6 linked regions of the Oryctolagus cuniculus genome follow. The protein of the gene in region 4 interacts with the protein of the main gene of each other region in a pairwise test. Links are inferred from orthologs where the notes say so. Each region holds a gene or a part of one and is shown on either strand. Other genes may lie near its edges.

Region 1 (4,800 bases), on a different chromosome or scaffold from region 4:
AACTCCCTTGTTTCTCACCTGAAATCCCATATTCAAACCTAAAGAATTGTAAGATTGGGATCTAAAGAGGACAAAACTTTATCCCAACATAATGTGATACAGACTGATGAATGAAGGCAACACTACTGTGCTTACTTTTGAGACACATTTTGTATGTATTTGTAACTTAGAATCGTTCCTTATCATCCTGACCCTCTGAAAGCAGTTGCATTTTCTAATGAAGACTTCATGAAATTATAGAATGTACTGGAGCGCCTCACATGGATGGCATCCCTTGCTATAGAAAACAGTGCTCCAGCCAGCGCCGCAGCTCACTTGGCTAATCCTCCGCCTACAGCACTAGCACCCCGGGTTCTAGTCCCGGTTGGGGCGCCGGTTCTGTCCCGGTTGCCCCTCTTCCAGGCCAGCTCTCTGCTGTGGGCTGGGAGTGCAGTGGAGGATGGCCCAAGTGCTTGGGCCCTGCACCCCATGGGAGACCAGGAGGAAGCACCTGGCTCCTGCCTTCGGTTCAGCGCAGCGGGCCGGCCGCAGCGACCATTTGGGGAGTGAACCAACAGAAGGAAGACCTCTCTCTCTCTCATTGTCTTAACTCTGCCTGTCAAAAAAAACAAGGAAACAAAACCGTGCTCCAGGGTGAGAGCTGGAGAGCTGCGGCCTGACACCCAGTGTGTGCTTACTTCAGAGCCGGCTTGGACTAGGTCCTTGTTCTGCAGTCCTGATCCACACAGTAGTCTTGAGGGAAATAATAGTGAACTTCAGGAGTAAATTTTTAACTAGAAGTATAATGTACATAATTTCAACCTACTTTCTGCCTACTATGATGTATTTATTATGACATTGTTTTGTGTATACAGTATTTATCACCTCAGCTCTATTTAAAAACATGTTTCAAACTGGGAAGCAAATGTTGCAAAGAATGCACCTGTGAAATGTTACCGATAACTGTGATTGAAGATTCTAGGAGTGTTCAATATGTGTTCAGTTTTAGTTGCTTATAGAAGCTACAAAAGTGTAATTTGTGAATGTTAAAGGCATTTAAATTTCAGTAAAAGAAGCTTATTCAGAAATTTAGAAAGATGAGCTAAAAGGTGATTACGTGTAAAAGCTTGAATTAAAGAATTAGCACAATAGAGTTGGGGCTTGGTTATTTGTAAGTTAGTTCCTCTTATAATAACATCAAGGTTTTTCAATGAAATAAGGGAAAGTGCATCACCTTTGTGTCAGATCTCTAACATATAACTGGGTTTCTGGTATCCCTGCATACTCTGAAGTGGAGGAACACTTGAGCTTCTGACCCCTTTGTGTGTCTCTGCCCTTAGCGTACCATGGTTTTCCACTTTAAGACATCATCTCTGTACTTTAAAGTAGAGGATAGAAGCTTTGATTTCTCAGAAAATGCTGATTCCGGTCACTTGGTGCACATGAGGCCAGGCTGTTGCTTGAGTAAAAGCATCTTGCATTTTTTCCTCTTTTCATTAACCTGAGTGTCTGGAATGTGGACTGAACTCTGGCAGCCATGTAAAACGCCTGCTCACTAACCACTGTGCGTGTGGTTGCTCAGCTTTCTAATCGCACCCTTTCTGAACTGAAGTAGACAGTACTGTTCTGTCTTAGAGCGTGACATACCTGCAGAATGTGGATCCTCACCGCTTTCTTTTTCCTTCCAAGGTTGAAGAAATGGTGCACAACCACATGACTTACTCATTGCAGGATGTAGGTGGCGACGCCAATTGGCAGCTGGTTGTAGAAGAAGGAGAGATGAAGGTAATCCCCACTGAACGTGACAGGAGCTCTGTTGGGTTCTCACTATTATTGCTATGAATGGGGACAGCATCTTCAAATCACTTCAAAACAAGTTACTACCATCAACGAAGAACCAGATATTAGAAATAAAATGTCTCTGTGCTTCTCCGGTTTCACTTGTACTTACTTCTTTGTGATTATCGTATGCATCTATCACCAGACCATGTTGTTTTGCCTAGGTCATAGAAAGAATTGGAGAATTTAGATAGGAACAGATCACATTTAGCTGATGGCCCTTGATTTGCATGTTTAGTTGTTTTTTTTTAAGTACACTGAATGTTGTGCCTAAGTTTCACTTTCTCTCCCTGTTGATCTATACCTATACCTACCTTTTTCTTTTTTTCTCACTGCATTTTTAAAAAAGGGTTGGTTTTTTTTTTTTTTTTTTCTTAATTTATTTTAAAGGCAGAGACAAAAATATCTTGCATTCACTGGTTCATTCCCCAAATGCCAGAACAGCCAGAGCTGTGCCAGTGCAGAGCCAGCAGCTAGGAACTCAGTCTGGGCCTCTTCTGTGGGTAGTGAGGACCCAGGTAATTGAGCGTCATCTTCTGTCTCCCACAGCGGTCATTAACAGGAAACTGGATTGGAGGCAGAGCCAGGGCTTGAGCCCAGGCACTTTAATTTGGGATGCAGATGTCCCACGCTGCATCCTAACTGCTGTGCCACATGCCTGCCCTTGCACCTGTTTCGATGTTTGAACATTGCTCAACTAGTCTTGTTCACAATCACTAAGCACAAGACACAGAATAGGAGCCAGGAATAGGAGCTGCAGAGATGGACTGGATAGCAGTAGCAGCTTGAACTCCGGGATGCCTCAGTCCCAAGACATTGAAGCTAAAGATCTAGAGAGATTTAATCAGACTCCTTCCAAGCTGAAGCTTTAGTTGAGTAAAGGGGATATTGATATTTAAAAGAGCATTGCTGACTCCATCTGATGATGTGTTAGAGGAAGAGTACAGATGAGTGGTGAAGAAAATTAGGAAAGAAAAACCTCTGCAGTTTCAAGTCTTTAGATTGCTTGACATTGAGGAGAAATATCTGAGCTGTATCTGGAGATGGAAACGAGACATTTTAACAAAAAGAAAAGGACCAATAAAGTGAAAGCAAATCATGTGTTCAGGGTTTTTGTATAGACAAGTTATCCTGGCAAATGAGATACAGTATGAATACAGGGATTTCCTCTTGAGTAGGGAAGAAGATTGACATGGAGGAGGCAAAGGAGACACTCTGATAAGCTGGTTGGAAAAGGGGCTTTAGCTCAGCTGTTGAAAGGTCTTGCTAATTGGTCAGTGCAGAGCTGACCTCAGGAGCAAGTCCAGAGCAGCCCAGGATGCGTGCTCTTTTCTCCTATACTTATCTTTTGGCCTGGGAGACCTGGATGGAGTTTTGGGCTCTTGGCTTCACCTTGGCCCAGCCCTGGCTGTGCAGGCATTTGGGCAGTAAACCAGCACACAGAAGATCTCTCTTTGTCTCTTGATGCTCTCTCTGTTTCTGTCACCATGCCTTTCAAATAAATAAAAATGAATGACTTTTTTTTTAATCTAAAACATAGCTTAAAGACAGACTTTCTAGTCTCTAGGGATTTGCTTTTTATCTTTCAAACAGTTTTAAATACGCCCTCTTTAGGTGTACAGAAGAGAAGTAGAAGAAAATGGAATCGTTCTGGATCCTTTGAAAGCTACCCATGCGGTTAGAGGTGTCACAGGACATGAGGTCTGCAGTTACTTCTGGAATGTTGATGTTCGCAATGACTGGGAAAGTAAGCTGCTGTTACTTGTGTATTTCAACCTAATGATTATTTTGAATTTCATATCAAGTTGAACCTAGTTTTCTGTATCTGAACTGTAGTTTATAAGGTCAGTGTAGAAAATAGTCCAGATAGGGGCCGGCACTGTGGCATTGCAAGTTAAGCTGCGACCTGCAGTGCTGGCATTCCATATAGGCACTGGTTGAGTCCTGGCTGCTTCACTTCTGATCTGGCTCTCTGCTGATGCACCTGGGAAAGCAGTGGAGGATGGCCCAAGTATTGGGGCCCCTTCCATCCTTGTGGGTGACCCAGAGGAAGCTTCTGGCTTTTGGCTTTGTCCTGGCCCAGAGCTGGCCAGTGTGGCCATTAGGGGAGTGAACCAGTGGATGGAAGACCTCTCTCTCACTGTCTCTGTCTTTTTGTCTGTCTCATTTAACTCTGCATTTCAAATAAATAAATATTAACAACAGAAAGTATGTATACACACACACACACACACCCCTAACATTTAAATAGAGCTTTTCACTGTGACAGTGTTCCTTAGGGTAGTGTATCCTGTGCTCTGATGCCTCTCCTTGTTCGTCTTCATGGTAGATTACTATCAGTACTATTTCTCACTCTACATGCACATAAGGTAAGACTCCCATAGGTCAAGTGACTTGTCAAAGGCACAGAATCAGTTAGTGGAAAAGACAGAACTGAAACAGAATGTTTATCCTTTATCACACTCGCCTAAACAGTTTTGATTTCATAGTAAATGAATCATACTATGGTTAGCTTGGAGTTACTATTAGTTTCTGTGTTCCCCTTCAGCACCAAATTTTGTAAATTAAGAAATTTCTCAGCCTCCTAAGTTGTTTATCATTTATAGATTTGACATTCTTTTTTCACAAAGATAGTCACTTAACCCTAGATTAAACAACTCATTTAACTTCAATAAATGGGGCAGAGGGAGGAGTTAGTTACACTTTAAGGAATTTCTTTCTTTCTTTTTTTTTTAGATTTATTAATTTATTTGAAAGGCAGAGTTACACAGAGAGAAAAGGAAAGGCAGAGGTAGAAAGAGGTCTTACATATATTGGTTCTCTTCCCAGTTGGCCACAATGGCCAGAGCTGTGCCTATCTGAAGCCAGGAGCCTGGAGCTTCTTCTGGGTCTCCCACGGGGGTGCCGGGGCCCAAGGACCTGGGCCATCTTCTATTGCTTTCCCAGGCCATAGCCGAGAGCTGGATCGGAAAAGGAGCAGCC
Region 2 (5,466 bases), on a different chromosome or scaffold from region 4:
GGCTTTTTCTAGCATCTGTTTAAGATTGAGCTAAATTTTGGAATAAACTTCACCTTGTTTGCATGGTGCAGAAACCTGAGACACTTCCTTTGTGAGACAGAGGAACCATTCTCTCAGAAGGCAAGGCTTCTGCAATGAAATGTCTTACAGTAAACATTGTCTTAAGGTGAACTTGTAGTCAAGTAGTGACCTGACAACGAAGGCTTGCACTGGGCCCACCAAACTGTATGCATGCTTTCTAGACAATATTAATACATATTTGCAGTGGACAGTTTAAGACAGAATATTTAAGTGTCCAGGTATTTCTTTCTAGCTCATAAATTTGATGCTTCATTCAACAAGAACTTATCAAGTGTCACTATATATCATACGCTGTTCTAAGAGCAAATAGTGACAGTGTCCACAGCTGATCTAAGAAATAAAAATTCTAGGGCTTGGGGCCAGCGCTGTGGCGCAGCAGGTTAATGCCATGGCCTGAAGCGGCAGCATCCCATATGGGCGCTGGTTCGAGACCCGGCTGCTCCACTTCCAATCTAGCTCTCTGCTGTGGCCTGGGAAAGCAGTGGAAGATGGCCCAAGTGCTTGGGCCCCTGCACCCACGTGGGAGACCAGGAAGAAGCTCCTGGCTCCTGGCTTTGGATCAGCACAGCAGCCAATTGGGGAGTGAACCAGCAGATGGAATACCTCTGTGTGTGTGTGTGTGTGTGTAGCTCTGACTTTCAAATAAATAAATAGATCTTTAAAAATAAATAAATAAGTCTTAAAAAAAAAAATCTAGTGCCGGTGCTGTGGCATAGCAGGTAAAGCTGCTGACTGCAGCACCGGCATCCCATATGGGCACTGGTTCTAGTCCTGGCTGCTCCACTTCCAATCCAGCTCTCTGCTATGGCCTGGGAAAGCAGTAGAAGATGGCCCAAGTCCTTAGGCCCCTGCACCCATATGGGAGACCCAGAAGAAGCTCCTGGCTTCGGATCAGCCCAGCTCTGGCAGTTGTGGCCATTTGGGGAGTGAACCAGTGGATGGAAGACTTCTCTCTCTGCCTTTGCCTCTAACTCTGCCTTTCAAATAAATAAGTAAATCTTAAAAAAAAAATAAAAATTCTGTGACAAAAATTTTGCTAAGAAATAATGAATAGATGAATACTGAGGAATTTAACAGTATTAGGAAAATCTAATGCCAACCCATGTACTTGGAACACTACGTCAGAATACAAATCCCAGTACTTTTGGCAAAACATCCAATTTCAGCATCTTTTCCACTATCATAAAAAAATATAAAAAATAAATAAGGGAGGCAGTTTTTTAAGGGAACTATGCCTTCCCACTTTCTCTTTCACTTGTCATAAATATATAAAGCATTCCTCTGAGAAAAACAGAAACAAAAACAAAATCAATAAGAAATAAATAAAAATCACAACTAGCGTAAATAATAACAGAAATACGTGCAAACAGAAGTACATGTTATATCATCAAATTTGTGTTGCCAATTTAGGGTCTGCTTGGTGTTGGTGGTACGTTAGGCATAGCTGTGAACAGAATAGTCTGATTTCACTGGCCTACTCAGGGAGCCAATTCTTTCGTAAGAGCACATTAAAGGAATAGAAAGGTTGCTTCTCAAATCATGCTACCATTTGGCTATAAACGTTAGAATGAAATTTTAGTGCCTGCTAACTAGAATCACTAGTCAACACTTGAGCACAAATGGCCAATTCCTAAAACTTAGATCTGAATCAAAAACTGAAGAACAAGAAAAAGCAAAGGTATACATAAAAAGGACAAGCAAACAGTAAGCAGTGACAAGTGATTAAAGCTAAAAGAACGAGTTCTAAGTTATAAGGAAACCGTTCCTCTGGGCCTTCGCCCAGAACACAAAAATTTGGAGGCGGAACGCTGGTGGTTTCAAGGCAACAAGGGTTCCAAATTTGCTGCCTCATTCCTTTATCTGCAGAAGCTTCCTCTGACAGGGTCTCTGTCGAAATGCCCACTATCACGCTGGCAAACCCAGCAGGGCACAGAAGCCTCAGATAGGTGGAAATGCATTGTTAGAAAACCCCGCAGACAACGTATGTAACGCTAAGATCGGAAATGCAGCTTTCAGAATGATCAATCTAAGAATCCACGGAAGGAGACGATGAGGCATGCTAAAACCTCTCGAAATCCTGTAATGCAACTAAATAAGACAGCAAAATTATCTGTGCACACATCCCCTCCTCCTCCCACCCCGCCCCCGCCCCCGCCGGGCTCCGTTCCTTTAAGAACCAGCACCTGTCGGCGGTGCACACTGTTTCTCAGGAAAGCATCTGCAGTGCGGATCCCAGCACGAGGGGAGCTGGCCAGGCCGCTCCCCCGAGCAGGCCGGCGCGCGTACCCTGGGAACCGAGCCGCCGGCAGCCTCCCCCCACCCGGTGGTTCACAGCGACGGGAGAAGGGGCTTCACCCAGCCCCTGCTTTGTCTGAAGGTCCTCCCCCTCCCCCGTTCCTGTAGTAAGCCCCCCTTTGTTATAGGGCCATCAACAATAGCCCACAGAAAACACCACACCGAAACGCGTCCGAGGCTCGGCACGACTCTATTATCCTCCGGAATATGAGCGACCGCCCGCGCGTCCCCACCCCCACGCGCGCCAGCGACGGGCGGGCGGGCGGCGATGCAGAGGCGGCCCCGCATCCATCTTGGACCCTCGGCAGCTCGCTCCCGGCTCCATTCTCCTCACCCCGCAGCCCCGGCCTCGCCGAGAACCGCCGAGGCACGGGCTCCAAGGCTGCCGTTCGACCTCCCCATCCTCCCCCACGGGCAAACAGAAATATTTTTAATGTCGAGGACCGTCATGCGTGTCTGCTTCTGTCAACACCTGTCTGCGGGCGTGCCGTGCAAACCGTCTTACCTCCGCGCCCGCAGACAATCCTAACCCATCCCTGCTCCCCCCGCCCCGACCCCCTCGACCCTGCTAGCCGTCCCCCCTGCAGACACCCCGGGTCCGCGGGGGGCTCGTCGGCCTCCCCGAACGCGGTCCGCCCCCCGCGCCGCGCACTCCTCCTCTTCCTCGCGCCCCCCCCACCTGCCGGGCCGCGGCGTGAACGCCCACTCGCTCCCCGCCCCCAACCTGTTTTCCTCACACCCCGTTATTTCCTCACCGCCCGCACGACCTTGCGCTCCCCTCCCCCTTTGCCCGTTTTCCAAACGTTCGTCCCCGGGGGGCGGGCGGGAGCCTCCCCCGGCCCCCCAGCCCCCCGGCCCCGCTCGCCCGCCCTGGGGCGGGGGCCCCCCGCGCGCCTCACCCGCACAGGAGGAGCCGCAGCTCTTCGTCCCCAGGGCGGGGCAGGCTCCGGGGCTCCCGCCACCGCCGGGCGCGGACGGCTCGGCCCCGGAGGACGACGAGGAGACGGACGGGGACTGAGTGGCCGCCGACGACTCTGCCATGGCTGCGCGAGCAAGGGCCGGAGAGGGGCGAAGAGAGACGCGGGGCGGGAGCGAGGGAGGGGAAACCGAAGAATCGGGCGCTCGGCTCTGCGAAGTCTCCGCCACACGCCTGCTCCGCGGACGGACTCCGACAGACTGACTGACTCAACCGAGCGCAGCTAGAGGGCGGGAGCGCGAGCGCGCCTGCGCACAAAGGCCCCGCCGGCGGGCGGCGGGGGCGGGCGGCGGCCGAGCGGAGGCGCGCAGCGGCGCAGCGCGCAGGCGCGAGAGCTGTCCCTCCGCGCTCCCGCGGGGAAGGAGGGGGGCAGAACCTGTCTCGCGCCGCGGCGGGCGCGCGCGCGAGGTGGGGAGCAGCCCCTTGGGACTAGACGCAGAGGGCGTGGCCAAGCACCAAGCTCCGCCCACCGCTGCCGCGGGAGCTGGCGGGTTGCTGCCCGGTGATCGTCGCTCGCGGCGCCATCGGTGACTTGTTTTTTAGGGCTGGCGTATGTGATGTTTGGGCAATGGGGGGGTCTCTTGGTGCATGTGTTAGCTAGAACCATCTTTCCCCGTGCATTCCAGAGCGGGGTCTTTGTCTGACGCTGCCGCTGCGGGGTGGACCCCGCGGGGCGGCGTGGGCGCATTCTGCAAGGTGCACCCCCTCTGCACGACGCGGGGACGGCCCGGGCTCCCCGTCCGATGAGGCGGAGCGATGCTCTGCAGCGTGGACCACCATTACTCATTCCGGTCACACCGCAGTGCAGCGGCGGAACCTGCTTCGTATTCTTACCTCGTTACTGTCCTAAGCAGGGGGTCCACGCCGGGTCTGAGGCGGCCTTTTCCTCCGAAAAGATGCATTTTAGAGAGGGGACAAGAAAAAGCTGAGCTGATGGAGAAAGAACAGCCGGCAGACAGCATACTGCCCGCGACTATGGGGGTGGGGATGCGTGTGAGATTAATGGGGCATTTAGAAATACGCATAACTGAATTCTACGCATAGCCTAAAAGGGCTCCGTAGCAGAAAGTGTATTTGAAACCATTTAGTTTATTAATATTTCATTTTGTTATTTTTGTTTGTTTCTCCTGGACTGGATTGCCAAATTCAAAGCCTTCTCCTTACATCTGGTCAAAATGTTTGAAAGGATCATAATCCCTTTAAGGGGGTGGGGGAGTGTGTCCTGGACAGAAGAAAAATCAAGGCTGCAGGCTTTTTGTTGCTAAAGCAGCAATGGATGGCCCGAAGCGTAATCGCGGGGTCTGCGAATCCTGCAAAGATGCGACCTCAAGAAGGGTGAGGCGGTCAGCCTGGCGGCCATGGAGGGGAAAAGCAGACCAGAGAAAACCGAGATCGGGCTGCTGGGCACATCTGCCCTTGACAGTCCTTAAGGTCAGGGGTGTGGGGGGAGGGTGAAACAACCTCTTGGCTGGATCTTCCCCCAAATAACCTCATGATAGATATCTTACCCTGGCACTGCATCTGTCCATAATGCAGCGAAGTGTCCCTGGGATGACAAAGGGAAATCTGAGCCAATCTGATAACCGAGCCAGTTAGCCACCCATTCTGACACAGGCCTACCTTTAACAACATATTTAAGTGCTAGATGAGAAACGATGCTAAAACTCATGTGGTCTGGGTGGTCTCTTAAGACCATAATTTACATTAACTTTATTTAAAAAAAAAGATTTATTTATTTATTTGAAAGTCAGAGTTACACAGAGAGAGGAGAGGCAGAGAGAGAGAGAGAGAGAGAGGTCTTCCATCTGCTGGTTCACTCCCCAACTGGCTGCAATGGCTGGAGCAGCACAGCGCTGATCTGAAGCCAGGAGTTTCTTCCGGGTCTCCCATGCGGGTGCAGGGCCCAAGGACTTGGGCCATCTTCCACTGCTTTCCCAGGCCACAGCAGAGAGTTGGATTGGAAGTGGAGCAGCCAGGTCTCAAACCAGTGCCCAAATGGGATGCCGGTACTTCAAGGCCAGGGCGTTAACCCGCTGCACCACAGCGCTGGCCCCTAACATTAACTTCGTGCTAGGTCTTGAAATGGTCTTTCCTTCCTGCTTTCTCTTGCTTGC
Region 3 (4,800 bases), on a different chromosome or scaffold from region 4:
GGAGATGGCAGCTCCCAGCCTCATGGCACAGTTATCAGAGAGACGGAGCACCAACGGGCAGGTAAACAGCTCCGCCTGGCTTTATGGTGAGGGAGCCCAAAACGATGTTTTTAAATGTTATTGTGAGGGACTGGATTTGGACCAATGGGGAGGAAGCAGATTTTGTATTTTTCACAAAGCTGACAAGGTTTGCTGTCTCCGTATGAAGGGCTGCTTTTCACAAGACATGAGCCACATATCTGGCTTACCATTTCTGGTTCTCAGCAGAAACACCCACACGGGGGCACGAACGCCCATTCGTACGCCACCTTACACACTCCAGGCACAGCTAAGGTGGCAGCAGTAAAGCTTCAGAGTGTGAATTTTCTGGAATATTTTTTCTTTTCCCTGAGCGTTTCAAGTGTTGCAGTTCAGGCAGACTCTAACAAAAGACCCATCCTGGATGTTTTTTTCAGACTGATGCCAAGAAAGCCCCTTCACCCTTCTTCTCCTTCCTCCACCCCCACAAATGATACACCTCCATGATTTATTTCCTCAAAACTAATTTCAAATTGGGTATTGAACAGCACTATTTAATGCCTTCCAATGTGATGGAATCATAAAAGGATGAAACATTTTGATGTAGAATAACCAGAAATGCCTATAAGATAAATCAATGTTATTACAGTGCCCAGCATGTACTGACTGCTCAAGAACTGGTAGCAACTTCCATCATTACCCCGGGCATATCTCTGGATGGTGAGTCATATACTGGGCTGCATTGTCAATGGAAAGAAATTTAGAAGACATTTATGAGACTTTTATTCCAAAAAGCAACATCGATGGCCATCTCCATGTCAACCCAACTCAAAGCCTACAAATGTACTCACAGTAACAAATCTTCATCACAATTTGTGGAGAATCACTTTGTTTTAGTTCTTTCAAATAATTTTCAGAGTCAAATAATCATAAGTGCTGGTTTTTGCCCTAGCTGCTGTAATGTCAGTTAAGATAGCTATGCCCTGTATTGGAATAACTGGGTTCAATTTGCACATTCCTACTAAGGCACACACTGGGAAGAAGTGGTAATGGCTCAAGTGGTTGGGCTCCTGACATCCACATGGAAGACGTGCATTGAATCCCCAGCTCCCAGCTTCACCCTGGCCCAGCCCTGGCTGCTGTGGGTATCTGGGGAGTGAACCAGTGGATGGGAGTGTTCTCTTTCTCTCTGTCTCTGCTTTCCTCCTCCAACCCTCTGCCTCTCTCTGCCTCTCCCTGCCTCTGCTCCTTTCTCCTGTGTGTGCATATGTGTGTCTGTCTGTCTCTATCATTATTTTTCAAATAATTTTAAAAGAATTTTAACATTAAAACTCAAGAGTTGTGACAAACACAAATAAACTCCACTTCACTTGAAACCCTGAAGGAAATAAACCAGTTTCCCTAAATAACCAAAGAACCCTCTTTACAAAATGCTGCTAGGAAAGTCTTTAGAAGGAGAAAAGCCCAACAGCTGTTGAAGTTCTAAGTGTAGTTCTAAGTTGAGTCTATCCTGCCACATTCTTGTTATGCTTTCCTTTTCCTCACCACTCTTTGTTTTCCATCTTGAATGAAATTAATTTATTTACAATTCTTTTATCAACACACATGGGGCTTGGGTCATGGGAACAGAAAGCTATTTCAAGTGAAAGAGCTTTTGTTAGGTCTTTGGTTTTCAAGGGGATGTTTCCTTTCTGGAGAAATTCAGGGGAGAAGGGGACGAGGATGGAGAGGACAAGTGGAACCAGTGAGTGTGAGGACAGAATGCAGAACAAACAACTCGCCTCTGGACTCCACATGGAAGAGCTGTCGGTGGCGTAGGGATCCTCCAGGTCCTGAGTATTGAAAGCTCTGTCCCTCTCCAAGCTCCCCTCTGCGGACTGGCGACTGGGGCTTCGGGCCACGCATGTCTCTTGGCTAGATGCACCATGGCGCCTGGTATCCCCCGTTTCACATGAGGACTGTGAGCGGGCAGTGATGGGGGAATCTTCACCATATGACAAATTCTCAGGATAACTTAGCTGGCTGGCTCCATCCAAATCTAGATTTTCAATAAAAAAAAAAAACTATTTCAAAATCTTTTATTTTTACATTTTTTCTTACCTACAGAAATTCAGTCACTGCAATGATTAAGACCATACAAATAAAACTTATTCCAATAATGTCTGCAGAAGTATAACTCCATCAATACAGTGGATAAATTTGATCTATATAATCAAAAAGGTCACTAGCAGTTTATGTGGGGTACAAGAAGATTTAATGCTTTGTAATACTGTGAACACAAAGAATGTATATTTATATCAGAAGGATAAAATAAACACATTACCATTATGCTGGAGTTAATGACCGTAAGGCTTCGGGGAAAGATCCAGAAAGCAAAAGCAGTCATATGGAGATCACACAGTCTCCTGTGTCACTTTTCCTTTTGTTCTCTGTATTATTCTCTGCTCAAAAGTCTTCAGTGGTTCTCCGAGTTATAAAGTCCTTTACTCGGGCCAGGCGTTTGGCCCGTGGTTAAGACACCTGCATCCCATATTGTAGTGCTTTGGTTTGGCTCACGGCTCTGCTTCTGACTTGAGCTTCCTGCTAGTGCAGATCCTGGGGGCCGCAGTGATGGCTCAAGTGGGTTGGGTCTCAGCCTGAACCCAAGTGCAAAGGCTGGACTGAATTTCTAGCTTCCAATTTCAGTATAGCACAACTCAGTCTGTGCTGTTGGCAGGTCTGGAGTAAACCATTGGGTGGAAGTGCTCACCTTCTCTCTCTCTCTCTCTCTCTCTCTCTCAAAGGAAAACAAATGTTCTTTACTTGATCTATGGAGAGAACACTGGACTTGGATTCAGATAATCTGAGTTTAAATCCTCTCTGCTTTATGAACTTGAACAATATTGAAACTCTAAACCTCTGATTTCTTACCTAAAAAGGGATAAAAAGCCACCATAGGGCTATTGTGGCTGTGTAAGTTCATATCACCTGGATCCCAGTAGACATTCCATAATTGTTAGCCTTGCTTACATCTCTGGTTTGAAACGGCCTCTTCTAACCTGTCACATCCCATTTTCTACTGCTTCTTAACTCATTGCCACCCGTGGTCTCACTGGTTCGTGAACCTGTAGTGATGCATTTCTGTCCACAGCAGTATTCAAACCCTCCATCCTGTCCACCAAAGCCTCAACAATCCTGAGCCTTCTGACTCTACATCAAAGTTTTACTCTGACATTAGTATTATAGTCTCTCTCTCTCTCTCTCTCTCTCTACCACACACACAGCCTGTTGGTCTTACTCTTCCACCTCAGTGTCTAAGTTGCAATCAGAAGGCAAGGAACAGCTGATGGGGTCTTCCTAATCGGTAGCCTTCCCCTTGATGTGGCCCCCACACTCCAAGACCAGCAGAGGCTGTCTCACCTCTTTGGCCTCCAGCAGCCAATATCCCAGGATGAGAGGAAATTATAAATACAGTCGGGACGAGGATAGCAAAGTATGTCATAAGCTCGGTTCTCATGTGCATACTGTACATAACAATCATTTCTCCCGTTAACCTTTTGGAACCTCAGCTAGAACATAAGCTCTGCATGCGTCCACTGCCTCTACTTTGTCTGCTGGTGAGCTCTCACTACACCTGCAAATCACTTTAACGTCTGCAGGCAACAAGTTTTGAAGCAGCCAGGTGTGCCCCAACACAGAGTGAGGGTGACAGTGGTTTACCAGAGAATATATGACCCATTTATATAAGCAGTCAGACTTGAAAATCTATCATCACCCTATGCAGACCACATGAAAACATCTTCAGGCTGAGCTGGTCCCCGGGACACAGCTACAGACTCCTGAATGGGGACTGCACAGCAGGCCACTGAGAAGTGTGCACTGTGAAGAATTCAGATCAGCTCCCTTGGAAACACTCTCCTGTGACACCACAACATTTTTACATTCATGCTCTGAGCTATTTGGCAAACACACTACAAAAAAGGCCGCAGAAAATGACAGAACAAGGGAAACTCCACATGCAGAAACCTACAATATAAAGCAGAATTTTCTTCCAAGCCTCTAATTAGCACACCCATTCCTCACATACATGAACAGTAAAATGTCCTATTAAACAGTGGGCCATCCATCAACATGTGTAGCACCCAGCAGGATTTCAGCACAAAATCTAACTTTGCCAAGAAATTACCCCCATAAAATTGTCTCATGGCTTTAACTCCTACAGTGATAATACCTAGATCAGTAATAAGGGAATTTTCAACAGCTACATTAAGCCTTGAAAAGCTATTCATAACTGAAAAACATAAGAACTGTATTAATGTAACAAAGCATTTTCCATGACAGAGAAGCAAGAAATGAAGTGGAAATGCAGATTGGGGTACAAGTCAAATTGCAAGGAGGAAAAAAGGGAAAGATGGTCCACCTTTACATAAAGCAGTCTCCCCAAGGCTTTAAATGAGAGAGGATCCTGTCAGCTCACACAGAAGCATGAAAGTAATTGCTTATTATCAGAGAAATATATCCTGGCTTCTTAGACATAATAGGTCATAGCTGTGTCATATCGATATTTATTTTAGCAGAGAAATTCTTCAACTTGTTTACTCCGTATCCTACTTTGGTGAAATAAAATCCCTTTAGCCACTTACTTCCTTTCATACTCCCAACTCTTCCCTCCCATCACCTGCAATATACAAAGACTTTGGCTTACCCTCTGTGATGGTTGGTTTTATAAGTCTACGTAGCCAGGAGTAGGTGTCAACCATCCAATCACACATTAATATAGGTATTTTGCAGATATGGGCATTT
Region 4 (3,995 bases):
GTGGGCTGCTGTCTCACTTCCCACAGATTATCTCTTTTCTACTTATGGTGCTAAAATTTCAAAACTGAGGAGGGCTACAGGACCCTTAGCAGATATATCTAGTCTGTCACCCATGTCCTATGTTTATGTCTTGGCTTCCTAAATGAAAAACATCACTTGAGCCCAGAAGGGATCAGAATTAATTTTTGTTATGTTTAGTGCCAAACCCCCAAAACCCAAAATATAATTCAACTAAAACAAAGCTCTACTACAAAACTCAAGTTAAAAACAAAACAAACACACTCAGGTCCAGGTGGATGAGCTGACTGGTCCTGTTAAATCTGACAATGGTAATTAATGAGGTGACCTGTGGTTATGCCTTGTTTGGACTCCATTGATTTGCTACAATTAAAACTATGTAGGTTAACTCTGCAGACCAAACCTCTAAACTCAAGGAGTATTCGACAAAATTATACACCCAAACAAATCTAAGAGTTCCTCAGAATTAGCTGTGTGACAGAATGCAAGCTGCACACTATTACCCTGACGCCATCCTTAACCCCCTTTGGTCACACTCTCCACGTAGCCCAGTTGCTGATGACAGGGCAGGGTGGATGCAGCTCACTGAAAGCAAAGTTGGTGAGTGGACTGGTGGTTCTGGCACACAGACACCTTCCATTCAATGAACTAAAATTCTGGATCTTCAGTTCCTGGCCATTTGCCATTTTAGAAAAAAGGTAAAATGAAGCATTTCAGTAAATAATAGATCAACATTTTACCACAGAAGTGCTTCAGCATTCTAATGGATTAGATGACTCATTAAGCTATTTTTATATGCCAGTTTACTAATGCCTTACATTAATCCACTAATAGGTTGTGGGGCCCATAGTAGAGTCCTTCTGCAGTCCTGTTTTCTGTAACCATGTTACTGATGACACTGAGTGATAATCATGTCTGCCTAAATATATTGTACTACTGACCTTTCATACTGATCCAGTCTCGCGCTGAAATAACCATATGGAAGAACAACGAATTGATTGATGACATGTACAACTATATTTAAAGAGCAATAGTGTCCGTGAGTCAAGAAACCTTCTTAAATCTTATTTGTAAGCATTTATATATGGTTTTGTGTATGTTCATAAATCTGTACTGTATTCTATATGTTTAAATACTGGTGCATGAATTTATTTTCACTTACTGTATAAAATGCCTACTGTAAAAACATTTTGGTATGTGTCAAATAAATTTGATTATGTAAGCATGCTCTTTGTTTTCAAAGTATCCAAAGTAAACACACCTGCACCATCAGCCGAAAATCTTTCCACAAATACAAGGAACCACTCACTGGTTGAAGCAAAGTCTACCAGTTGTGTACACTTTTGATCTACTGCAGTTTCACGAAACCAAAATACCACATCCATTTGAGTCTATAAGCTTTATTGATACTTTGCTTTTACAATTCACAATGCATTCCACAGATTTAGTTCAGTACAGCTTAAACCACAACGGTATAAGTCCATTTTATAATATCTTGCATAACAATGTTTGATATTTGCAAACAACATTTTTGGAAGCATTAGGTTCAGTCCACAGATTCAGAGTTTGTGACAAAATTAACTAAGTAAGTCGGTGCAATGAAGTTTATGTCAGAGTTCTATGTGTATGGCATTGTCTCATGTTGAAAAAGGATGGTAGTGCTCCTAGAAATATATTTTCTTTTTCTAGCTTATGTGCTTTGGAACTACACATGGTAACCAATGACTCTGAAACATCAAGCACTGTGGGGACAGCTGGAAGGGAAAGGGCTAAGCTTTGTGAAACACTATATATAGATAGATATATATAATCTATATTTACTTATATTGGCAATTAATATAACAGTAAAATTCACAATACACCTAGAACATATCAGAAAGGCAAGCTTTTTCATTCTTGCTTTAGTGGTATGTTCTCGTCTAAACATTTCATTTCAGAAAATCTGCATCAATCTACACAGACCACACACAGCGCACAAACTGTGAAAAGGGTTATTTTTTCCAGCTCCACTTTCTCGGCAACTTTCCAAAAATACAGCAAGACTACCTGCAACCAAGTGTAATATACAGCTTTCTCAGATCTTTTTTTTATTCATCAGTGCCTCATACAGGAAAAACAAATATGATTACGGTTTAAATCCATACATAGCAGCTTACAAATACTTAAGATGATGAACACATGGCAGTCAAGACAGGTAATTTTTCCTCAAACAGTGCATTGCTAAAAATAAAGATCTGTGAAGCTGCACTGTGATGTCAAGGTTTCATTCTTCCCTGACCCTCCCCCATGTAAGCAAATAAACACCCCCCTTTCAAAGATGAATTCCTATTGTTTATCATTCAGCTTTGCGCTTCAATCCAGGGATTTTTGCTTGAATTCTACAAATGAGAAAGAAAGGAGGAACAGTCAATGTAAATATCTTGTTTTCTGCCCCTTGAAAAGCCATCCTTCAATAATTTTTCATTTATTATTCAGTTTATATAAGGACAAACTAAGGCTGCCACATGTTATAAGCTATAATTTTGCCACCTTGGCTCCAAAAATTAGATTTAAGTAAAGTCTTAAATATATCTAGTAAAACTAGAAATTAATGATCCAAATGTTAGAAAAAAATACTTTGCTCCAATGTTACCCTTTAAAGTCTGACGATTTGCTATTCAATGCCTACAATGTAAAAAATGGAACACCAGTCTCAAAATCCAGCATACCTTATCTTTATTTAAAAAACAAAACTTATATATTTTAACTACTTACTTAGCCATAGCATCTTTAACATTCTTATTTGCAAGTCCTAGATAATGATCTATCTGCGCCTAAAAGAGAGATATAAAAGGAGTTGTAAGAGAACTTCTATTGCTATAGAATTGTATTAACCATTACTATGGATTCACAAATTAAAGGCTTAAAAAACCAGTACTGCTATGTAATAGGATGAGCACTGCATTCTGCAATCAACAGGTAAGAAATTACCTGATGCCGTTCATAAATAACAGGAACACTGAAGAGTGAGATCAGAGCTGAAAGAGGAAACACAACGTTTTACTACAGGTGCCCCTGGTTAGCTGTATGACTGCCCCATCAGCTAAGGCCACCTTTTATCTGTTTATTGTGGTAGTTGCAGCAGTCTCCAGGAGCTAAACAGCCTTTCCGTAAACTGAGTATCCGTATCGGAATTTATAGAAAGATCACAATCTCCCTATAAGATTATTTTCTACTAAAATGCCTGTTTTCTCATATCTGTTCTTTCTCTACCATTTTTCATGCTGGTGCTTTTATCAACTTACCCAAAATCAGAAGAGTCAGACCATTGAACAAGGCACCAACGTAGGTGAATACCCACATCAACACTGCAAACTGTAAAAAAATTCAAATAAAAATTAAGTTTTCTAATGTAAGAATGCCATCTAAATGCCAACCTACTATCAAAATTTGATGTACATTAAAATATTTCCCTTTGAAGTCTCAGTTCAAAATTTCAAAATCCCAATTAAACAATTAGTAGATTTGACCCATTTTTCCCTGGAGCACACTAACAAGTGGTTAATTCTGTTTTCTGAGATCAGGGAATGTGCCAAAGACACACTACCTTCAGATCTCTAACATCATTTATATCTTACAAAATTTAGTTTTTAAATGCGAAGACTGAAAAGGTACTATGAGAATTAGCTATAACCTTAAAGTTACCAAGTCTAAATGCTTGAAGATATCTGAACTAAATAATTCAAACATTAACATCTCAGGCATCTGATAAGCAATAACGAGGCAGAGTGTTACTACAGAAACTAGGTTTCAGGTACCAAAAATATCGCTTCTACCCTCCTAAGGTTAAGAGAAATAGTTAACATTTGTAAGGCGTCTAAAATGGTAACTAGTGCATAAGTAAATTAGTGTTTGTTAAAAATGCAGTGGGGGCAGGGCCAGTGCTGTGGTGTAAGGGTGAAGCCACCGCCTGCAATGCCAACATCACATATGAGAAC
Region 5 (4,697 bases), on a different chromosome or scaffold from region 4:
ATCCTCCACTGCTTTCCCAGGCCACAGCAGGAAGCTGGATTGGAAGTGGAGCAGCCGGGACTCGAACCGATGCCCATATGGGATGTCGGCATGGCAAGGTGGCTTTCCCGTTATGCCTGTCGGTCATACCATAACACCATCTGCCACAAGGCCCTGACTGGGGCCAAACACACGGGGCCGCCCTGTCTCGGACCTGCAGCTGCCGACACCGTGAGTGAAATCGGCTCGCTTCCTCAGTGCCCACCTTAGGCCCCTGTTACAGCCCCAGAAAGTGAACCAGCCTCGGCCCCAGACACCCCGGCTCTGGCCGTCCCCATCCGTTACCTTCCTTGGAGAAGGGGTCGAAGAGGGCGAGGTCGGCCTCGGTGAGTGGGCCCCGGGTGGGGGTCCCCGACGTCTCCTGGGGGCTGCCACAGCTGAAGAGGAGATCCAGGGCCTCCTGGGCGGGGCTGGACGGCGCAGGGTCTGCTGAGCAGAGACCACGGGGCACAGGGACAGCTGCGCTGAGCTGCGGCCCAGCTCTGCCAGGGAGCCGCCCCTCACCAAGTCCCTCAAGGGTTTGTGCCCATTTTACAGATGGAGAAGCTGAGAATGAAGATGACCTGTCCAGAGTCCCTCAGCAGGGAGACGGTTAGGGCTGGGGGGTGGGTGTGGACCCCCACGTCCACCCCCGCCCACCTTGTCTGCCCACTCCGGCGCCCAGCCTTCGGCCGGTACCTGGCACTTCCGACTCCTCGAGGCCCCTCCTCTCGGCGGGGAGCGGCTGGGGCAGCCGGGGCTCGTCAGGGGGCGGGGTGGGGATCAGTGGCGGAGGCAGGATGTGCAGGTCCCTGGACGCCTCACAGGGCCGTGCCACCTCGCCACCCTGCGGGAGAGACCAGCCTGGCAGAGTTGGCGGCATGGCCTGCTGGGCAGGTGCCTGGGGGCGGGGCAGGGCGGGGCAGCGTGGCCTGCTGGGCAGGTGCCTGGGGGCGGGGCAGGGCATGGCAGCATGGCCTGCTGGGCAGGTGCCTGGGGGCGGGGCAGGGCGGGGCAGCGTGGCCTGCTGGGCAGGTGCCTGGGGGCGGGGCAGGGCATGGCAGCATGGCCTGGTGGGCAGGTGCCTGGGGGTGGGGCAGGGCATGGCAGCGTGGCCTGGTGGGCTGGTGCCTGGGGGCGGGGTGGGGCGGGGCGGGGCAGCGTGGCCTGGTGGGCAGGTGCCTGGGGGCGGGGCGGGGCAGGGCAGGGCGGGGCGGCGTGGCCTGGTGGGCAGGTGCCTGGGGGCGGGGCGGGGCAGGGCAGGGCAGGGCAGGGCAGGGCAGCGTACCCGGAAGAACTCCTTGAGCTGGGGGCTGTTGTTGAGCGCAGGGATGTGCACTGTGAACCGAAGCAGGTCCTCCGCCCCCTTCCGCCGCTCCTCGATGACCGAGGCTTCGAAGCGGCCTGCAGCGCCCCAGGACGGGGAGGGGGCAGAGCGGCGGTGACCCCAGGGCCCGCCCAGCTCCTCCTCCCCACGAGCCTCCCTGAGGCTTCCCAGGGGGACAAACTTCCCCACTCATCCGCCAGATGTCTCCTGAGCACCCACTACCAGCTGCGCTCAGACGGAGAACGAGAGAGAAACAGTTTCTGTCCTGGATACTGTATCCCCGATGAGAAACAAAGCCTCCATGCACAGAGGGGGAAAGTGACCCACCCAGGGTCACACAGCAAGCTGCCCCTTTGTCACAGGCCCCTGCTCTGCCCTGTGCTGCCGGGGGCATAAGCTGCGCCACCCTGGCATGACCTGCCGGCAACGAGCCCTCACCAGCTGTGACCAAACATCTCATCCCCCCGGCGTCAGGGGACCTGGATGCACACAGACCAGCACTGCCCAGCAGAGACAGAACACGAGCGGCTGGTGCTGCGGCTCAGGGGGTTAAACCACCGCGCGACACCGGCATCCCACGTGGGCGCTGGTTCAAGTCCTGGCACACTCACCAAACACCTGGGCCGGGGGGAAGGCGGGGAACTCCTCGAGACGGCGGAAGAGGTTGCGGTGGGTGTAGGCCAGGTCTCCGTGCAGCTTGCGGAAGTCGCTGTACCGCTTCCAGACGACCACCTGCGGGGACACACGCGGGCTGGCCCGGGCTCGCGGGGGACAGACAGGGGCTGGCCTGGGTCTGCGGGGAACACACATGGGCTGGCCTGGGCCCGTGGGTGACACACACAGGCTGGCCTGGGCCCACGGGGGGCAGACAGGGGCTGGCCCGGGCCCATGGGGGACACACGTGGGCTGGCCCGGGCTCGCAGGGGACACACGTGGGCTGGCCCGGGCTCGCAGGGGACACGTGCAGGCTGGCCCGGGCCCGCGGGGGACACACAGGGGCTGGCCTGGGCCCACGGGTGACACACGTGGGCTGACCCGGGCTTGCGGGGGACACATGTGGGCTGGCCCGGGCTCGCAGGGGACACACACGGGCTGGCCCGGGCTCGCGGGGGACACATGCAGGCTGGCCCGGGCCCGCGGGGGACACACAGGGGCTGGCCTGGGTCCACGGGTGACACACAGGGGCTGGCCTGGGCCCACGGGTGACACACGTGGGCTGACCCGGGCTCGCGGGGGACACATGTGGGCTGGCCCAGGCTCGCTGGGGACACACACGGGCTGGCCCGGGCTCGCGGGGGACACACATGGGCTGGCCCGGGTTTGCGGGGGACACACACGGGCTGGCCCGAGCTCGCGGGGGGCACACAGGGGCTGGCCTGGGCCCACAGGGGACACACACGGGCTGGCCCGGCTTTGCGGAGGACACACACAGGCTGGCCCGGACACGCAGGGGACACATGCAGGCTGGCCTGGGCCCGTGGGGGACACACACGGGCTGGCCCCGAGCCTGCGGGGTGGGGGGCAGCCTCCCGTGCACCGTGTCCCGCGCCCGCGCAGCTGAGGGACGCCTGAGCAGAGGGCACGGCCGCCACTCCGCCCTTGGCGCCCCCCGCGTTCCCCCCCAGGAGCCGGCTGCTGCCTGCTCACTCTGTCCAGACCTGGAAGTGGGGGTGGCCCCGCTCCCCACGAGCCTCACCTCCTTCACATCCTCAGGGTCCTTCTTTGAGATGAACTGAAAAAAAAAAAAGGGCAAGAGCCAGGTGAGACCAGAGGTGGCCGTGCCAGCCCATCTCCTGGAAAAGCTAAGGAGGCCCAGACAATCCCGAGTGCCGCTGCCCCTCGGGTCAGGGCCCCTGGCCGCTGGCATCCCGCTGTCCCTCTGCCACGTGCCTCAGTCCTTCCAGCTCTTAAAGGGCCACCCACCCGGCGCAGGGTAAGAGCCCGCCGGGCGCTGCAGGTGCGCCGCCAGCTCCCAGAAGCCTCTCCGACCTCTGCGGACGACAGCATCACGGACGGACGGAGCTGCTGCTGCCACCCCGGTCGGGGTCTTTACTCCCAGCAGCCCGCTCATCTGCACGCGCGCGCACTTAGGGTCTGCGCGTCTTAGGGCCAGAGCTGTGGCTCAGCGGGTTAGGCCGCAGCGTGCAGCACCGGCGTCCCATGCGAGCGCCAATCCAAGTCTGGCTGCTCCGCTTCCGATCCCGCCCCCTGCTAATGCACCTGGGAAAGCAGCAGAAGAGGCCCAAGCGCTCGGGCCCCTGCACCCACGTGGGAGACCCGGACGGAATTCCAGGCTCCTGGCTTCGGCCTGGCCAGCCTCGGCCATTGCACCCATTTGGGGAGTGAACCAGCAGATGGAAGACCTCTCTCTCTCTCTCTCTCTCTCTCTCTGCTGCCCCCTCCAGCTCTGCCTCTCGAATAAATAAATCTTGTATTAAAAAAAAGTCTGTGCATCTTTATGTAAAGTATAGCTTTTATTATTATTAGTAAACGAAGAACAAAGCCGCGAGGGCAGCCTTTTGGGCTAGTGGCCCAGATGCCTCAGGCCTGAGTTTGAGTCCCGGCTCCGGCCTCTGACTCCAGCTTCCCGCCGCCGCCGACCAGAGGAGGCACCCAGCAGGTGGGTCTCTGCCCCAGCACGGGACCCGGCTGCGGGCACCGTGGGGGTGGCCAGTGCGCGGAAGCTCTCCGCTGTCCGTCTCTCCCTCGTTCCTAAAAATCACTAAGCAACGCAGGAATACCGACGCCTACTCCCGTAAGTGGCAGATGGTGGAATCACACATTCGCTCACAAACGCTGAGTTCATTTGCAAGGATAAACAAACTAATAGTGAGGCTCTCTAAGGACAGCAGGAAGGGGGTGCAGTGGGAATTCTTTAGGAATTATGAACCAGACCCAGGTTACCTGGTGTAGAGCTGAGGGCGGGGCCTGGGGGAAGCGCACACCGCTCCGCACCACCGCCCTCTGCGCACACCCCAGATGGCCGCAGGGCAGGGCTGGCCAGGCGGGAACCAGAGCCCTACCCCACGGGGCGAGGAGCAGGGCCAGGGCCCGGCTGGGAGCAGGGGCAGGTGGGGCTCCGCACGCGTGGGACGCGGGCACAGGGGCAGCCGGGACTCCGCACGCGTGGGACGCGTGGGGCAGCCGGGACTCCGCACGTGTGGGACGCGGGGCAGCTGGGACTCCGCACGCGTGGGACGCGGGTACAGGGGCAGCCAGGACTCCGCACGCGTGGGACGCGGGGCAGCCGGGACTCCGCACGCGTGGGACGCGGGGCAGCCGGGACTCCGCACGCGTGGGACGCGGGCACGGGGCAGCCGGGACTCCGCACGCGTGGGAAGCGCGGGGCAGC
Region 6 (5,414 bases), on a different chromosome or scaffold from region 4:
ATCATGCTGTTCCCTTTGCTCCGGGCAGCTTCTGGTCCAGCAGGACAGATGGAAACCAGTGTAACAAACGCCCACCATAGGTTTTAGGCCCAGCCCGTGGCTTGTTGCTGATTCTGTTAGGTAGGAAGTTAGATATGAGCTTATGTGTGTGTAACAGGCCTAAAGAGAAGACTTCTATGTCCAGCATATGCATCTGCATCTCAAAGTCATCCTGATAATGTTTCCGGTATTCACATCCTGCCCTGCCCCCTTCTGCCCCCTGCTACCTGATAACCTGCCAGGTGGGGGGGGGGGGTCCCCCGCCCCTTCTGCCTGACAAATCTTCCACAATCTCCCAGATGCAGCTCAGTATCTGCATTTCAAACACCCTGCTCAGGATCCCCATTCTCCAGGGGTCTTGCTCACCCTTCCTCTAAACTCAGGATGGTGCCAGCTAGCCTTCCTCCAGTCTGATACCTTCAGGGGAAAACTCAGAAGTTTTTCTATTTACATCCAAAAAGCCCTTTGTTCCAAGAGGAGCAGAGGTGGGGAAGCAAGACCCCTCTCCTTAAAAACCCCTGGCCTCAACTGGACTGCGCGCTCAGCCCTCTGCCTCTCTGCTGAGCCGCCGACCTGCCTGGCCAGGTGTAATCTCTCCACTCAACCATGTAACCTGGCTCCTTCCCCCCGTCCAAGCGACTGCACTGTCTCTCAGGTCCCGTCCGGAGAGGTGCCCATCCGTTCTTGCGGATGTCCCTACCCTAATAAACTTCGCTACTTCTACTTTCCACTACTCTGTCTCATGCCTGAATTCTTTCTTGCACGAAGAACCCTGCCATTCTCCAGTAATAATTCCACTCATTAAACTATTCCAAAATCCTCAGAACAATCTCCCAAGGTTAAAGCCTTCCATGGAAGCCTGCTCTACAGAGTGTACACACCTGTGTGGGGCTTACAACAAAGACCAGTTCCCGTGACTGACCCCCACTCCCGAGGAGGTGATTTGGAAATCAGTAGGCGAGGGTGTCATCCTGCTCTTGGGAAATGTGTTGGGGATTTGGTCAAATGCTGGCCTGGAACCCAAGGTTCCTGAGCCAGAGGACAGAGGTCATGACTGAGGATGCAATTTAACTGGAATCTTCCCTGACCTTACTCCCATGGGCAAGGACACAGGCTTTAAGCATATTAGAGAGAGGCACTGAGCAGGGCCTTGCCGCAGGGTCCCTTAAAAGCTCCCAACAGGAAGCCTTCCATGCCATTCATGTGTCATACCCTCCTCCAGTGCAAACCTGGAAATGTTTAACTGGGGAAGGGAGTCCGAGAACAATGACAGTGAAGCCATTCACATGCCTCCGGGCCTTTAAAGGAAAAGTGCTGACAGAGGCAGGGTGGGAGTCTGTTCCCAGAAATGTCCCACATCGGGAGCACGAGGCTGGAGGCACTCGTGTGGAGACAACGAGGCGTCTGTGCCTGCGCCAAATGGTATATAAAAAACAGAACTTGCCAAGAATAGCCACAGTCCTGTTCCCCAAAACCGGGAACCCAAACGAATCTCCTCAAAGCTTTGCAGGACGGGAGCACGCAAGCCAACTGAGCGCAGAAGCAGGTGCCAGGGGCCAGACGTCCCCTTCGTCCACGCCCACAACTTCCTCCTGGGTGCTCACGTCACACAGGTGACCTAGAGTCGACCCAGAGGAAACCCGGACCTCCCCCACGCCCGCCGCACCGGATGCGGGCTGCCCGGCAGCTCGCAGCACTCACAACACCTGCAGTCTCCCACCCGAGTTGCCAGCCCTCCCCGTCGCCATGGCGCCGCCCGCGCCACGCAGCCCCGCCCCTTCCTCGCGACGTGGCCCCGCCCACCGCCGAACCCGGAAGCGGGAGGCTCGAGCCCGCTGAGCCAAGGTTCCGGAGGAGGAGGGAGCGCGACGGCCGAGCTCGCCGAGCCGCGCGCCCCGCCCCTCGGAGGCTGGCCTCCTGCGCGCGCCCCCGCTGCCGGCGGCCCCTGTGGGTCCCGAGCGCTCCCGGCCCCGGCCCGCTCCCGGGCCCAGCCGCCTCCACGGCCCGCCCCAGTGCTGGAGCAAGGAGCTGCCTAGGGCAGGAGGGCCGGGGACGTGGGGGCGGCCACGGCAGGTGAGGGCGGGCAAGGCCCTGGGCCGCGGGGCTGTGGGGGTGTGGCGTGTGTCGGGGCTGTGGGTGGTGGGTGTGTAGCGTGCGCAGCTGCCTCGGCCGGATGTGACTTTGTGAGTGTGAGTGTGATCCCGAGTGGGCCGGTCCATGTGACCATGCACGTGATCGCAGACCCGTGCGCGAGGGAGGTGTTTGTCCTGAGGCCGAGCCTGGGCTCGTGGCGGGGGTGGGCGGTGTGCCTGGGACCCTACCTTTGTGTGGCTGTCACCGTTGGGAGTGGGAGGCCTTGGAGTGGACAGAAGGCTTCCCGGGGACAGACGCCTGCAGACCCATCCTGGTGCTGCGCCGCAGAGCCCAGGAACTTTTCTGTTTTTCCCAGATAACTTTTAAGAACTCTGAACAAAGGCCACTTATTGTGGAGATTGTCCCTCGGCCTGAAAGTGACAGATGCCTTTGTCGTTGCTGATTTTCGGGCCAGGTAGACAGGGAATCAGGAGTCACAGGGCCTCTCCCCTGTTCCTGGGGAGTTACAAGTTAGACACTCTCGCTGTGTCTTTGTCTCCTGGAATGGTCCAGCTCCTATGGGCTGGGCCTGAGGGGTGTGTCCAGCGTTCCAAAAGCTTTTATATACCAAGAGCACAGGAGGAGCTGTCAGAGAAGAGATGTCAGGGAGGCAGCTTTCCCTCCCAAGAGGTTTGGCGATGATGAAATAGATTCCTGATGAGAAGCAGAGATCTTAAAAAAAAAAGGGGGGGGTGTCTGTGTACTGATGGGGTGAGGGATGGAGGCGTGTGTTAAAAAGCTCAGAACTCCATGCTGTAGTGCTTGTTTTTTTTGTTTGTTTTTGACAGGCAGAGTGGATAGTGTGAGAGAGAGAGAAAGGTCTTCCTTTACCGTTGGTTCACCCTCCAATTGCCACCACGGCTGGCACGCTGCGGCCGGCGCACCGCGCTGATCTGAAGCCAGGAGCCAGGTGCTTCTCCTGGTCTCCCATGGGGTGCAGGGCCCAAGCACTTGGGCCATCCTCCACTGCCCTCCCGGGCCACAGCAGAGAGCTGTCTTGGAAGAGGGGTAACTGGGACAGAATCCAGCACCCCGACTGGGACTAGAACCCGGTGTGCTGGTGCCGCAGGCGGAGGATTAGCCTACTGAGCCGCGGCGCCGGCCATGTAGTGCTTGGTTTTGCTGGTATTAATCGGGACAGGTCGCCCGCATGTAGAACAGCCATAGATTGAGATAAAGGATCAGAGACCTTGGACTAGCACAGCCGGGTGTGTGGTTGCAACACTTGTAAAGGCAGCTTCGTGGGCTGTAAACTGGCAGAGTGTGAGGGCCCCCAAGACAAGCTCGCACCCCGACCTGGCAGTGTGACTGTGCAGCAGCTCCAGGCCAGCGAGGACGGGGTCCCGGACACCCGGTGCCCTTAGGGGAGAGTGAGGCTGTCATCGCCGAAGCCTTTCCCTGCCAGCCAGAGCAGGTGCGTTCGTTTCTGTGAAAAACTCAGTCATGGGCGATGGAATCCGTGTTGCGCTCACCGTCCACATTCTTTCTGCCTTAATCCTGACCCGTTTGGTCACCATCTCAGCCAGCCTTCTTCGCCGTCTTGGAAAGTGTGCCCCTCGATGGATGAAAGAGAGCCAGGGGAACAGACCTTCCTTGTCAGACTGCTCAGCGGCTGTCCCTTGCGGAAGTGAGCTTTTCTTCACCTGGACGTCAGTTGGTCAATTGCAGCATTTGGTATCTGTCTCCCCTTTCATGTACTGCCAGACTAGCACAAGTGTTAAAATCACTTGTCGCCACAAAAATGTAGTCCCAGCTGAGTGCAGTCGCTCGGTCCGGCAAGGTTAGTTATAACTTGTTGTAATCGGGCGGTGGCCGCGAATTCTCCTGAGGACTGTTGGTAAGGAGCATCTTCCCACCTGCTGCTCTGGAGAGAAGTGGATGAGTGAGTGAGTCGGTGGGCTGTGTGAGAGTATGTGGATATGTGAGGTAGTTTGGTTTGCGCCCTGCAGCTGATTCCAAAACTGAATATTGTGTTCTACCCCTGGTTTGATGACTAGAAGCAATCTTTCAAGCTTTAAAAGATGAAGTATTTAGGGGATATGAGAATGTGGCCTGTCTGTCCAGGGAGAAAGTATTCCAGAATTAACTGTGTGGTTGTTCTTTCTGTTAAAAGTAGTAACCAGCTTAGAGGAAGGCTGTAGTTAAAATGGCTTAGTATTTGTTTGTTTGAGAGAGACAGAGAGCGAGCTTCCATCCACTGGTTAACTTCCTGAATGCCACAAGCTACTGGAGCTGGGCCAAGGTGAAGCCCGGAGCCAGGAACACAATCCAGACCTCTCACATGGGTGGCAGTAACCCCGTTACTTGAGCCGTCACCGCTGCCCCCCAGGGTCTGCATTGGTGGGAACCTGGAGTCAGGAACCAGAGCCGGGAAGTGCACCAGTGGGGGCACGTGGCTGTCTTACCCACTGGGTAATAGCCTGCCCCTATTTTTTTTTTAACATGTTAGTATTTAAGATAACATAGATGCACACAAAAAGATTGTCTTTATTCCAGTGTGAATAATTACGTCTATACACACTTTGAGCGTAAGACTGGCAATTTGTTAGTACTTCAGGCAAATTACAATTTTCACACTTTTCTAAAAGTGCCGTGTTAGCTTTGAGAGACTGTTACTCCAGTGTCAGGGTCGTGAAGAGTCTACGTTGGCTGTGTCCCTGGGGTTCACTCTAGTAACCCCACAGGTAACAGTGGAGGCTCCTGTGTCCTGTGTTGCTGAGGGAGCAGGCCTGGTTGGCCCACAAGGAGGAAGGAGCTCCTTCGACTTTGGGATCCCCTGCTGCTGGCCGGTCCTTGGTCAGCCCAGGCTGGCCCCTGAGTAGCGGACATGGTACAGATCAGCAGGCGAGTCCTCCCACACAGAGGAGCGGGATTCCTCGTGTGTCAGTAAGAGTCTGCAGCAGGGAACTATAATTCCAGGTTCCTCTTGGGACGTAACAATGGCTGAGCACACCTGAAGATGCCCATCCAGTCCAGAGCTCCCAGACGCCAATGCTGGGAGGAACTCTAGGATGACCTTGCTCCTTCTCCTTGGGGTGTAGTCATTCACTTGCTCAGCGGGTAACGCCTGCTCCGTACCAAGCACTGTCCTGCGCTTTTCAGGGCACCGTGGTGAAGCAGAGATAGAAAGCGAGCCCAGAGACAGTCGTGACTTTATGTGAGGTCACAAAGCTTTATAAAAGCCGGAGATAACTAAGCTTCCAACAAAAGACCACACGTTTTTTCTGATCACATCAATACGA

What was found.
Region 1: the proteins of RTN4 (region 4) and CERT1 interact in binary tests that used the Homo sapiens proteins (3 or more experiments, as listed by UniProt). The link is inferred for Oryctolagus cuniculus from reciprocal best matches to the Homo sapiens genes RTN4 and CERT1.
Region 2: the proteins of RTN4 (region 4) and RTN3 interact in binary tests that used the Homo sapiens proteins (3 or more experiments, as listed by UniProt). The link is inferred for Oryctolagus cuniculus from reciprocal best matches to the Homo sapiens genes RTN4 and RTN3.
Region 3: the proteins of RTN4 (region 4) and SYT16 interact in binary tests that used the Homo sapiens proteins (3 or more experiments, as listed by UniProt). The link is inferred for Oryctolagus cuniculus from reciprocal best matches to the Homo sapiens genes RTN4 and SYT16.
Region 5: the proteins of RTN4 (region 4) and SNX15 interact in binary tests that used the Homo sapiens proteins (3 or more experiments, as listed by UniProt). The two-hybrid records come from large-scale screens. The link is inferred for Oryctolagus cuniculus from reciprocal best matches to the Homo sapiens genes RTN4 and SNX15.
Region 6: the proteins of RTN4 (region 4) and SPG21 interact in a two-hybrid assay, tested with the Homo sapiens proteins (2 studies listed by BioGRID and IntAct). The two-hybrid records come from large-scale screens. The link is inferred for Oryctolagus cuniculus from reciprocal best matches to the Homo sapiens genes RTN4 and SPG21.

Annotation. Positions count from the first base shown.
Region 1 is NC_091445.1:472,647-477,446, reverse strand, and holds part of CERT1 (ceramide transfer protein), read left to right. Parts: intron 1-1,668; coding exon 1,669-1,764; intron 1,765-3,432; coding exon 3,433-3,565; intron 3,566-4,800. UniProt on the Homo sapiens protein: Shelters ceramides and diacylglycerol lipids inside its START domain and mediates the intracellular trafficking of ceramides and diacylglycerol lipids in a non-vesicular manner.
Region 2 is NC_091432.1:7,487,217-7,492,682, forward strand, and holds the start of RTN3 (reticulon-3), read right to left. Parts: upstream 3,621-5,466; 5' UTR 3,418-3,620; coding exon 3,276-3,417; intron 1-3,275. UniProt on the Homo sapiens protein: May be involved in membrane trafficking in the early secretory pathway. Inhibits BACE1 activity and amyloid precursor protein processing. May induce caspase-8 cascade and apoptosis.
Region 3 is NC_091451.1:8,389,533-8,394,332, forward strand, and holds part of SYT16 (synaptotagmin-16), read right to left. Parts: intron 2,057-4,800; coding exon 1,800-2,056; intron 1-1,799. UniProt on the Homo sapiens protein: May be involved in the trafficking and exocytosis of secretory vesicles in non-neuronal tissues. Is Ca(2+)-independent.
Region 4 is NC_091433.1:147,597,276-147,601,270, reverse strand, and holds the end of RTN4 (reticulon-4), read right to left. Parts: intron 3,373-3,995; coding exon 3,303-3,372; intron 3,036-3,302; coding exon 2,989-3,035; intron 2,832-2,988; coding exon 2,773-2,831; coding exon of another isoform or gene 2,769-2,772; intron 2,397-2,768; coding exon 2,354-2,396; 3' UTR 1,403-2,353; downstream 1-1,402. UniProt on the Homo sapiens protein: Required to induce the formation and stabilization of endoplasmic reticulum (ER) tubules. They regulate membrane morphogenesis in the ER by promoting tubular ER production.
Region 5 is NC_091432.1:6,511,853-6,516,549, forward strand, and holds part of SNX15 (sorting nexin-15), read right to left. Parts: intron 3,078-4,697; coding exon 3,042-3,077; intron 2,078-3,041; coding exon 1,957-2,077; intron 1,423-1,956; coding exon 1,307-1,422; intron 866-1,306; coding exon 718-865; intron 586-717; coding exon 325-585; intron 1-324. UniProt on the Homo sapiens protein: May be involved in several stages of intracellular trafficking. Overexpression of SNX15 disrupts the normal trafficking of proteins from the plasma membrane to recycling endosomes or the TGN.
Region 6 is NC_091443.1:88,007,607-88,013,020, reverse strand, and holds the start of SPG21 (maspardin), read left to right. Parts: upstream 1-1,882; 5' UTR 1,883-2,112; intron 2,113-2,206; exon of another isoform or gene 2,207-2,228; intron 2,229-2,308; exon of another isoform or gene 2,309-4,009; intron 4,010-5,274; exon of another isoform or gene 5,275-5,414. UniProt on the Homo sapiens protein: May play a role as a negative regulatory factor in CD4-dependent T-cell activation.